Linked DNA regions of Danio rerio. The protein of the gene in region 2 interacts with the protein of the main gene of each other region in a pairwise test. Links are inferred from orthologs where the notes say so. Each region holds a gene or a part of one and is shown on either strand. Other genes may lie near its edges. The genes, in order: akap12b and fhl1a.

Region 1 (3,829 bases), on a different chromosome or scaffold from region 2:
GTCACAGTTTCAACTTCACTTGTAGCCTCAGCCTCTACTTTAAGATCTTGTTGCTCTTCTTTCTCAGTGGGAGTAACTTCATTGGTTGTTTCAGCCGTCGTTTCAGTGGTAGTTTCAGCTTTAGTTTCAACAGTTTCAGATGGTTTCTCTATCTGCTCACCCTCAGCTGGTTCATTTTCAGCATCAACTTTAGCTTCTTCTGTAGCCTCGGGAACACCCTCTGCTGTTTCCTCAGTTTCCTTAATGTCCTCCTCCACAGGCTTTTCTTTGACATGTTCCTCATCTTTGGGCTTTTTGAAGCTTGCCTTTTTTCGGAGGTTAGAAAAGATTCCCTGAGTAAAAAATCTCTTAAAGGGACTCTGTGTCTCCTGAGAGGGTGGGCTTGTGGGCGATTCAGCTGGCACTTCTGGCTCTGGTTCTTTCTCTGATATTGTCCCTGTTTCTTCAGCAGGTTTTTCAGTTTCAATATCACTGACCTTTTCTGTCTCTGATGGTGCATCAACTACAGTTTGTTCTGCTGGTTCCTCTGCCTTCTCAGTTACTTCTTCAGCTTTGGCCTCATTTTCTGTGGTTTCTGGTGATTTTTCTTCCACAGACCTGTCCTCCTCTGCTGCAGGTTCCTCTTTCTTTTCCTCAGTGGCTGCATCAGCACCACTCTCTGCTTCCTTCACTGTCAGCAGTTGCACAGGCTCAGTCTTCTCATTCTTGTCTTTCTTCAGTGTGAATTTGAATCCAACGAAACGGAAAATCTTCTTGAAGCCCACTTCATTGGCCTCTTCTTGTTTTTCCTCTACCACCTTCTCTTCAGCAGTTGTAATCTCATCTGCATTTGCAGAATCGTCTCCCTTCTCTCCATTCATTTGAGGGGCAACCTCTTCCTGGTGCACTTCTATTGTTTCAGGGCTGTCTTCTTTTGGGGAGATGGTGTCCGTTTGACCAACTGAAATAAAACAAAAATGAAAGATTTTATTAAATTGCTTGCATAAATTTATTCACTTATACTTATGATACTTAATTGGACATCTAAAAAAAAATGAATCAAGTCGTCACCATTCGAATCATCAAGTTAACAGATTATTAAATAACATAACACTCCAAGTGTTTAAAATCGTCTGTGTGTTTGGTCTCTTGTGGATAGTCAACCCACAAAAAGAATTAGTTTAGAAAAACAGGTTTGTAATTATAATAATAAAAGCAAAATAAATGATCTAGTGAGATGATTAACTCAAGATGGAGGACTGTGTCATTTGAAGGAAATCAGAGCCACATTTCTGGAAAACCTGCAAAAAAAACATTTCCCCCCTTACAGATTTAATCAGGCATATGATGGCAATCTGATATTAAGTTTACATATTCTGGTCTCCTGCCTGTAAATGTTAACCAAAACTATAAAACGGGGGTGATGACAACAGTTAACTTAAAAGCAAACAGGGGAAATTTCCATGTAGTAAGCTTCAGCTATGCAGGATATGTTGCCAAACTTTTTGGACTATGAAACTGACCTGATTTAATAAAACACAGCAAACTCATATCGAAGGGGCTTTTTTTGATAGTATTTTACTAATATTAATCAGCATGTGAGCACAGTATCATCTGAAACTAAATGTAACTAAAAGCACAACAGGTGGATAAACAAAAAACACAAACACACACACACACACATTTATAATGTCTTAAATTCCTCCCTCGTCTATCTGTGTTTTGACAGGAGTGGGTTGGTTTTGAGGGTGTGGGTCTAGGAACAGGGAGTCATGTTCACATATAGTGTGGGCCTCCTAGAGGCCCAGTTTCCCTTTGACATCCAACCTAGCAAGAGACTGCTCACATCTGGCTCTGCTTGCTCTTGCTTTGGGGTCTGAAACCCACCCAGTGACTTTAAAAACAAATTCCAAGCATTTTTAATGCATGGATATAACATTACTTGACATCCTACACAATTGCATGACACAGGCCTAGATAACGCAAACACATTTACCAAACAAACAACTTATGATTTATAAAACGAAAAATTATAAATCATATTAAAATAATCATATTTTTATGTGACTGGTAAAGTCTTACCCCACCCTTAAAAAATTACAATGAAACAACAAAATAGAATAAACTACCAATGCTCCTAATCGTGCCATGGTCACCCAGTGGAGAATGCATTTACAATCTTACATTAGCTTATCCACCTTCAGTAAGTTTAAATTAAGATAGCTCTTCTGTGGTTTTAAAGTATGCTATAAATGTAGAGAGGCGCTAATCTAATACCACAATTCAATGTGATACTGGGGTGCAATGGCATTCCCATCCCCCTACAAAACAACAAGCCATCCCCCCCACAGACCAAACCCAATTCTAAACTTTAGCTTAGGAAGACTGTATTGTGTTGTGCTCTTTGTCTCCAAACGGGCCCCTGGTTTTTCCTGCTTTAGCTAAAAAGGGTGGGGGGCCACACTATTGTCTGTCCTGGAACCTAAACTACCATGATGAAATCCTTGCAGTAAAATGGGAAAGGGGCATTATGGGAAACAATTTAGAATGACAGATAGAAAATCTTGATGATATGGAAGACTGATTACTGGACAAGCTGTAAAACTTTTGGAAAAGTTTGGCGGTATCTTAAGGGGCAATAAAAGTTAGGTAACAATTAGAAAAATGAAACATTAAACTATAACATGATGCTGTTGCCTCACACAGCTGGAGACATGTCTGTGCAGTGTGTGTGTGTGTGTGTGTGTGTGTGTGTGTGTGTGTGTGTGTGTATTTAATTTTACTTGAGTATGAAAGACAAAATGGGTCAGGGACCATGAGTAAGCCATCAGTCGCCCTACATTTGCCTTTGTCTCAGATTGGGGAAACTCAAGCCAAGGAATTTGATAGCGTGTCTGTTGTGGCTGTTAAAGTGTAGAACTGTGGGTGGGTGGGGGCAGATGCCATCTGAAATCACAGTAGTTTGATAGCTGGGCTCTCTAGAAAGCTGGGGGAAGGGTGGATGTTTGTTGAGATGGGTCTGAGGTAATGGTCAACAACCCCCTACCCCTTGCTGTTACATGCAAATGCAGGCTGTTCATTAGTGGAATCTGTGAGTTTAGGGAAGTTGCAGGAAGAATGAGCAGTAGACTGACTGCCGGACCCCCACCAGGCCAACTACCCCACCTCCCACACTAAATAACTATACTTTAGTGACTGCCCCCTTTGACTCTGGTTGAATGAACAATCAAAATTTTGTTTATGATACTATCAATATCTACTTTTAGAATGGATTGTGGTGAATAAAAACCATTAAGATTGCAAAAATCCAATGAACCTGCAATGTGCTGTGTGTATGTATGTATGTATGTATGTATGTATGTATGTATGTATGTATGTATGTATGTATGTACATGTGTATATACAGTTGAAGTCAAAATTATTAGCCCCTCTGAATTATTACACCACTTGTTTATTTTTTCCCAATTTCTGTTTAACAAAGAGAAGATTTTTTTCAACACATTTCTAATTATAATAGTTTTAATAACTAATTTATAATAACTGATTTATTTTATCTTTGCATCGATGACATTAAATAATATTTTACTAGATATTTTCTCTACTATACAGCTTAAAGTGACATTTAAAGGCAGGTTAGGGTAATTATGCAAGGAAATGTAAGACGATGGTTGAAAAAAAATTTGAAAGGGGGCTAATAATTTTGACTTCAACTATATATATATATATATATATATATATATATATATATATATATATATATATATATATATATATATATATATACACACAAACACACACAAAACAATTAAAGCAAATTAAAGTGTAATTAAAAACTGAGATAAGAATCTCC
Region 2 (4,403 bases):
CAGCATCTAGGAATAGCACAAATAAACATCACTGATGATATGAACACACATGCTCCCTCTCCATCATAAACATACAGCCTCATCCTATTTGAGTTCGGCTTCTCCGTATGTTATTATGCGTTAAGACGCTCCAGACTGTCCTACTCAAGAGTATTTGAGTCTTTATGAAAGATATATCGAAACTAGAGTTCAGTTTCACATCACTTTACCTCAATGTATGATCATCAATCACAGGTATTTGTTTCCTCTTACCTGCATGTGATTTTATTTACTCTTTTAAAGTGCTGGTAGCCATTGACTTGCATTATATGAATCACATTTTCAGCTAAAACTTTCCTCTAATGTTCTTTCATGCTGACGATCTTAGATGGAGTAAACATTTATATGCATAGTTCCTTTATATTTAATAATTTGTTCATTATCCTTCACCTTAGTCCCTTTATTCATCAGGAGTCGCCACAGCGGAATCTACCTCCATCTTATCCAGCATATGTTTTACACAGTGGATGGCCTTCCAGCTGCAATCCAGTACTGGGAAACACTCATACACACTCATTTAAACACATACAAATTTTGTTTATTAAATTCACCTATACCTCATGACCTGAAGGAAACCCAAGCGAACATGGAGAGAACTTGCAATCTCCACACAAAGATGCCAACTGACCCAGCTGGGACTTGAACCAGCGACCTTTTTGCTGTGAGGTGGCAGTGCTACCCACTTGGCCACCGTGTTGTCCACTGCTATACCTGCTACACTATACCAAATATGTCTGAGCTCAGTTCGTTTTTTTTAGCTGAATTCTCCTCTATACAGGAGCGGTGTTGTGGCTTCTGTAAACTAAATAATCATCCTGACCTGACCAGCATGCTCAATCCCCTAAGCCTTTTGGGAGAGCGTCCATCAGCTGTTCATTTTTAGCCAGCTCTGTCAGTGTTATCAAACGGACCTCTTTGTCCCAAAGCGAAGAGCAAATGCTGTTTTGAAAGGTCACCGCGAGATCAAATTCAGCCATACGGAGAACAGAAACCGAAGAGAGCATGTCCACGTTAAAGCAAACATTGATTGAGATGGCTATATTTGACAGTAGCAAATGCAGGCCAAATAAGAGGGGAAATGATGCAGAATTAAGGAATTAGCTCAATTGATATTTGGACAAGATTACACATGGGACAATAACCAGTTTTAAGGTTTACCGTGGTTTGGACGTCATTTTTAAAACTGCTAAAATTTTCTGTTGTACCATTCCAACAGTATCAACACAATCTTGTGGCAATTCATAACTTTTTTTTATTTAGTGGCTAATTCGTATGAATTTGTACATCTCATTCGTACAAATTAGTATGATTTGCTCATCTCCCAATGACGGTTGGGTTTAGGGGTGCGGCGGGGGTGGGGGTGGCTTGGGTGCCATGCCTCCTTTTTAAAATTGTACATTTTCATTCGACTGAAGTTGTACAATTTCAAACAAATTAGCCACTAAACTGACAAAACGTAAAATAGTTACATTTTGTCGTGAGATCAGGCTGGCAGTAAATGTACGTTGTTTTGTGTGTGTGTGTGTGTGTGTGTTTTACGACTATTAGTTTTTTTAGTGCAACAGTATTTCCAGCAGAAAAGAACCCTCCACATCAAAAGCTGGTCAGCACGCGATTCAGGAAAAATTTTAAAGCAAATCTCTCGTACACCTACAGCCAAGCATGCTATAGACCTGAACAGTGCAGTGGCTTAATTTATATGCAAAGAAAAGAAAGATTTCCAGGGACGCCTTTTCAAGTTGTAAAGAAATCTGGTTTTGAAACTAATGAAGACAGCAGAAGCCAACGATTTATTGCAGTTATTCAGCCTGAAATGTTTACTGTTCCAAAATATTATAAATGTTTCTTCAAATAAAATATATATTGTGTTTAGAGGGGGTTGTTGTTTTTCCCCCCTGACATTTAAAAAAAGAACATGTTTTGGAGCAGTAATCAAAATACTATGATATTTTTTATCTATCATACCATCAAAATCTTCTACCAGCCCATGCCTGACAAGATTGAGATCACATACAAATATACCCAAACTCAGCATTATAGTGACTATACAGACAAAGATGTGCTTGCCTGCCTGTGATTAACATAGCATCTACTTTATTATCTATTTTGCACAAGCTCTCAAATAAGATTGGTATTCATCTATACTGGAATTACAATGCCTAATCCTCTCAAAAATAAAATAAAACAATGACACCTCTTTTATAAAGTACAATTTGCATCAGGGTATATTAGAAAGCCCTTTCTGTTAACTAAATCCTAACATATACTTACACTGGCTGCATTTATTTGTTAAAAACAGAAATTCTGATACAGTTTTTAAATCTTATATTTTTTTGGAATATTTTATAGATATAAAAATGTCATTTATTTCCAAAGCTGATTCTTTAAGCAGCCTTCTGACATGTTGATTTTGTGCATTTCTCAATAATATACAAATAAAAATGGTTTTACTTTTTACTATTTTCATGAAAAACTAAATTTATCGTTTAGTTGAGACAGAAATGTGATTACAAATACCTTTACTGCCTCTTTTGACAAATGCTATGCTTTACAGCTAAATAATAGAAATTATTTTAGAACAATCCTACTGATCAGTCTTTGGATCTCAGCTAAACCAAATACAATATGCCTGATTAAAAAACAAATGCAAGTGCCAAGAGAATCCACTGGCTGATCCATCAATCGTCACGCTGTGCATCTTTACCTGAGTGCCTGTAGTAGCTCATGTCTGCTATCTGGAAAAACAGAAAGCCTTGCAGAAGTGAAAGAGATGGAAGGATGGATTGATACAGGATACCAAGTATAGCCAAAGAGTTACAGGAGAACTCCACTCTTCTTTTGAAAGTATTTGTCATATATACAGTACTTCCCCAGCTGCCTTTTAAAACCTGCCCCCCAGTTGCCTACCACACCCATCATGGCCTGTCCTCACAAACCCAGTAATCCCACCCAAAGCATCAGCTGCCCACTCCATGTTAGGCTGTGCTGCAAAAGATAAGTGAAGGGGAGGGAGCCGGAGAGAACTAAATTCATCTGAATTCTTGGCTTGTGACATCAGAGAGCAGAATAAAGGAATCTGATCTTCATATTGGAGAAGCTTGTGTTCATTCTGCAATGGATTAGTAAAAGTACATGGCACCACACCTAGAACAACTTTGTTTATCAGTCCTTACTTTGCCAAGTAAACTTTGTGTTGCTATTGGCTTGTCTGATTAAACAATCATTGCAATAAAAATTAGAAAGCAGAGAAAAGAAGACAGTAAAAGCTTCTTAAATTGCTTCTCTGAGGGCTTTTTGGAGGACACTAAAGTGCAACTGTCCTCAGATGCCTTTGATACTCAGTTTGACTCTATAAAACAGCCGTTTCTCCATCTACGCCAAACCATGTTTATAATACAACAGAGTGTGGAGCTTTTCTTATTTCTCAACTTATTCCTAAAGATTGTGATGTATGAGGAAAACTATGCTTGATTTGGAACCAGCTGTAGGATTCTTGTAGTGGCTCATGAATTTGAATGACTAAATCAAAACATACGAATGACTAGAGATAATTAATTATGCAGAGCTGAGTGAAATCTATAAATGATTTCCATGAAAGGACTCGAGTCTGAACTCAAACACTGCAGGACTTTTGAATGTCTACAATATACAAGTGAATGTATAGTAACTTTGCAACTGCAAATTAAAAAACAGTTAATCAGAGTATATTCCAGTAAGTTGTAACCCAATGTTGGGTCAAATATGGACAAACCCAACATTGGATTATTATTTTTAATTAAATTTAAATTACACTTTTTATTCCAATGGTTGAATTTGACCCAACATCGACAATAAATCCAGGTGTAAATGAGATCTAAATGTTTTAAACTTGTATACTTTGGCCATGATAGTCCTGTTTCCTCCTGGTATTGAGATGCAATTTTCTTAATCGGATCACAAGTATTTATTTTGTGCAGTCTACAGTACATATGAATGTTAATGGAAATGACTCAGAGAACAGATCTGTTTTTTCTGATAGCAATAGAATCTGTTAAAACGCCTGTTGAAAACTGTTGGTTTGAGTTGGAATCAGTACTGGCAAGCGAACAATGACAGGGTTCCCACAGATCATGCTTTTCAAAAGGTCTATTCCGGTCATTACAATTGATTTTTTTGTACAAATCATGGAATATCAGGCATTTCGGATTCTTTAGTTTTCATGTATCAAAATTATTATGTTTTTTTGATCCACTTGTTAAGTGTGACCACGTGAAGCGGCTGCCTCCAGGCGCTCTATAAAACTGTATAGGGAGACTCAACAAATGGTAATAATAAACGTTTACAAAGCGATGTAATACTTAAAAAATAATGATAATAAGGATCAG

Evidence for each region.
Region 1: the proteins of fhl1a (region 2) and akap12b interact in binary tests that used the Homo sapiens proteins (3 or more experiments, as listed by UniProt). The link is inferred for Danio rerio from reciprocal best matches to the Homo sapiens genes FHL1 and AKAP12.

The regions. Positions count from the first base shown.
Region 1 is NC_133195.1:29,130,393-29,134,221, forward strand, and holds part of akap12b (A-kinase anchor protein 12b), read right to left. Parts: intron 941-3,829; coding exon 1-940. UniProt on the Homo sapiens protein: Anchoring protein that mediates the subcellular compartmentation of protein kinase A (PKA) and protein kinase C (PKC).
Region 2 is NC_133189.1:36,176,927-36,181,329, reverse strand, and holds the start of fhl1a (four and a half LIM domains protein 1a), read right to left. Parts: upstream 2,866-4,403; 5' UTR 2,766-2,865; coding exon 2,744-2,765; intron 1-2,743.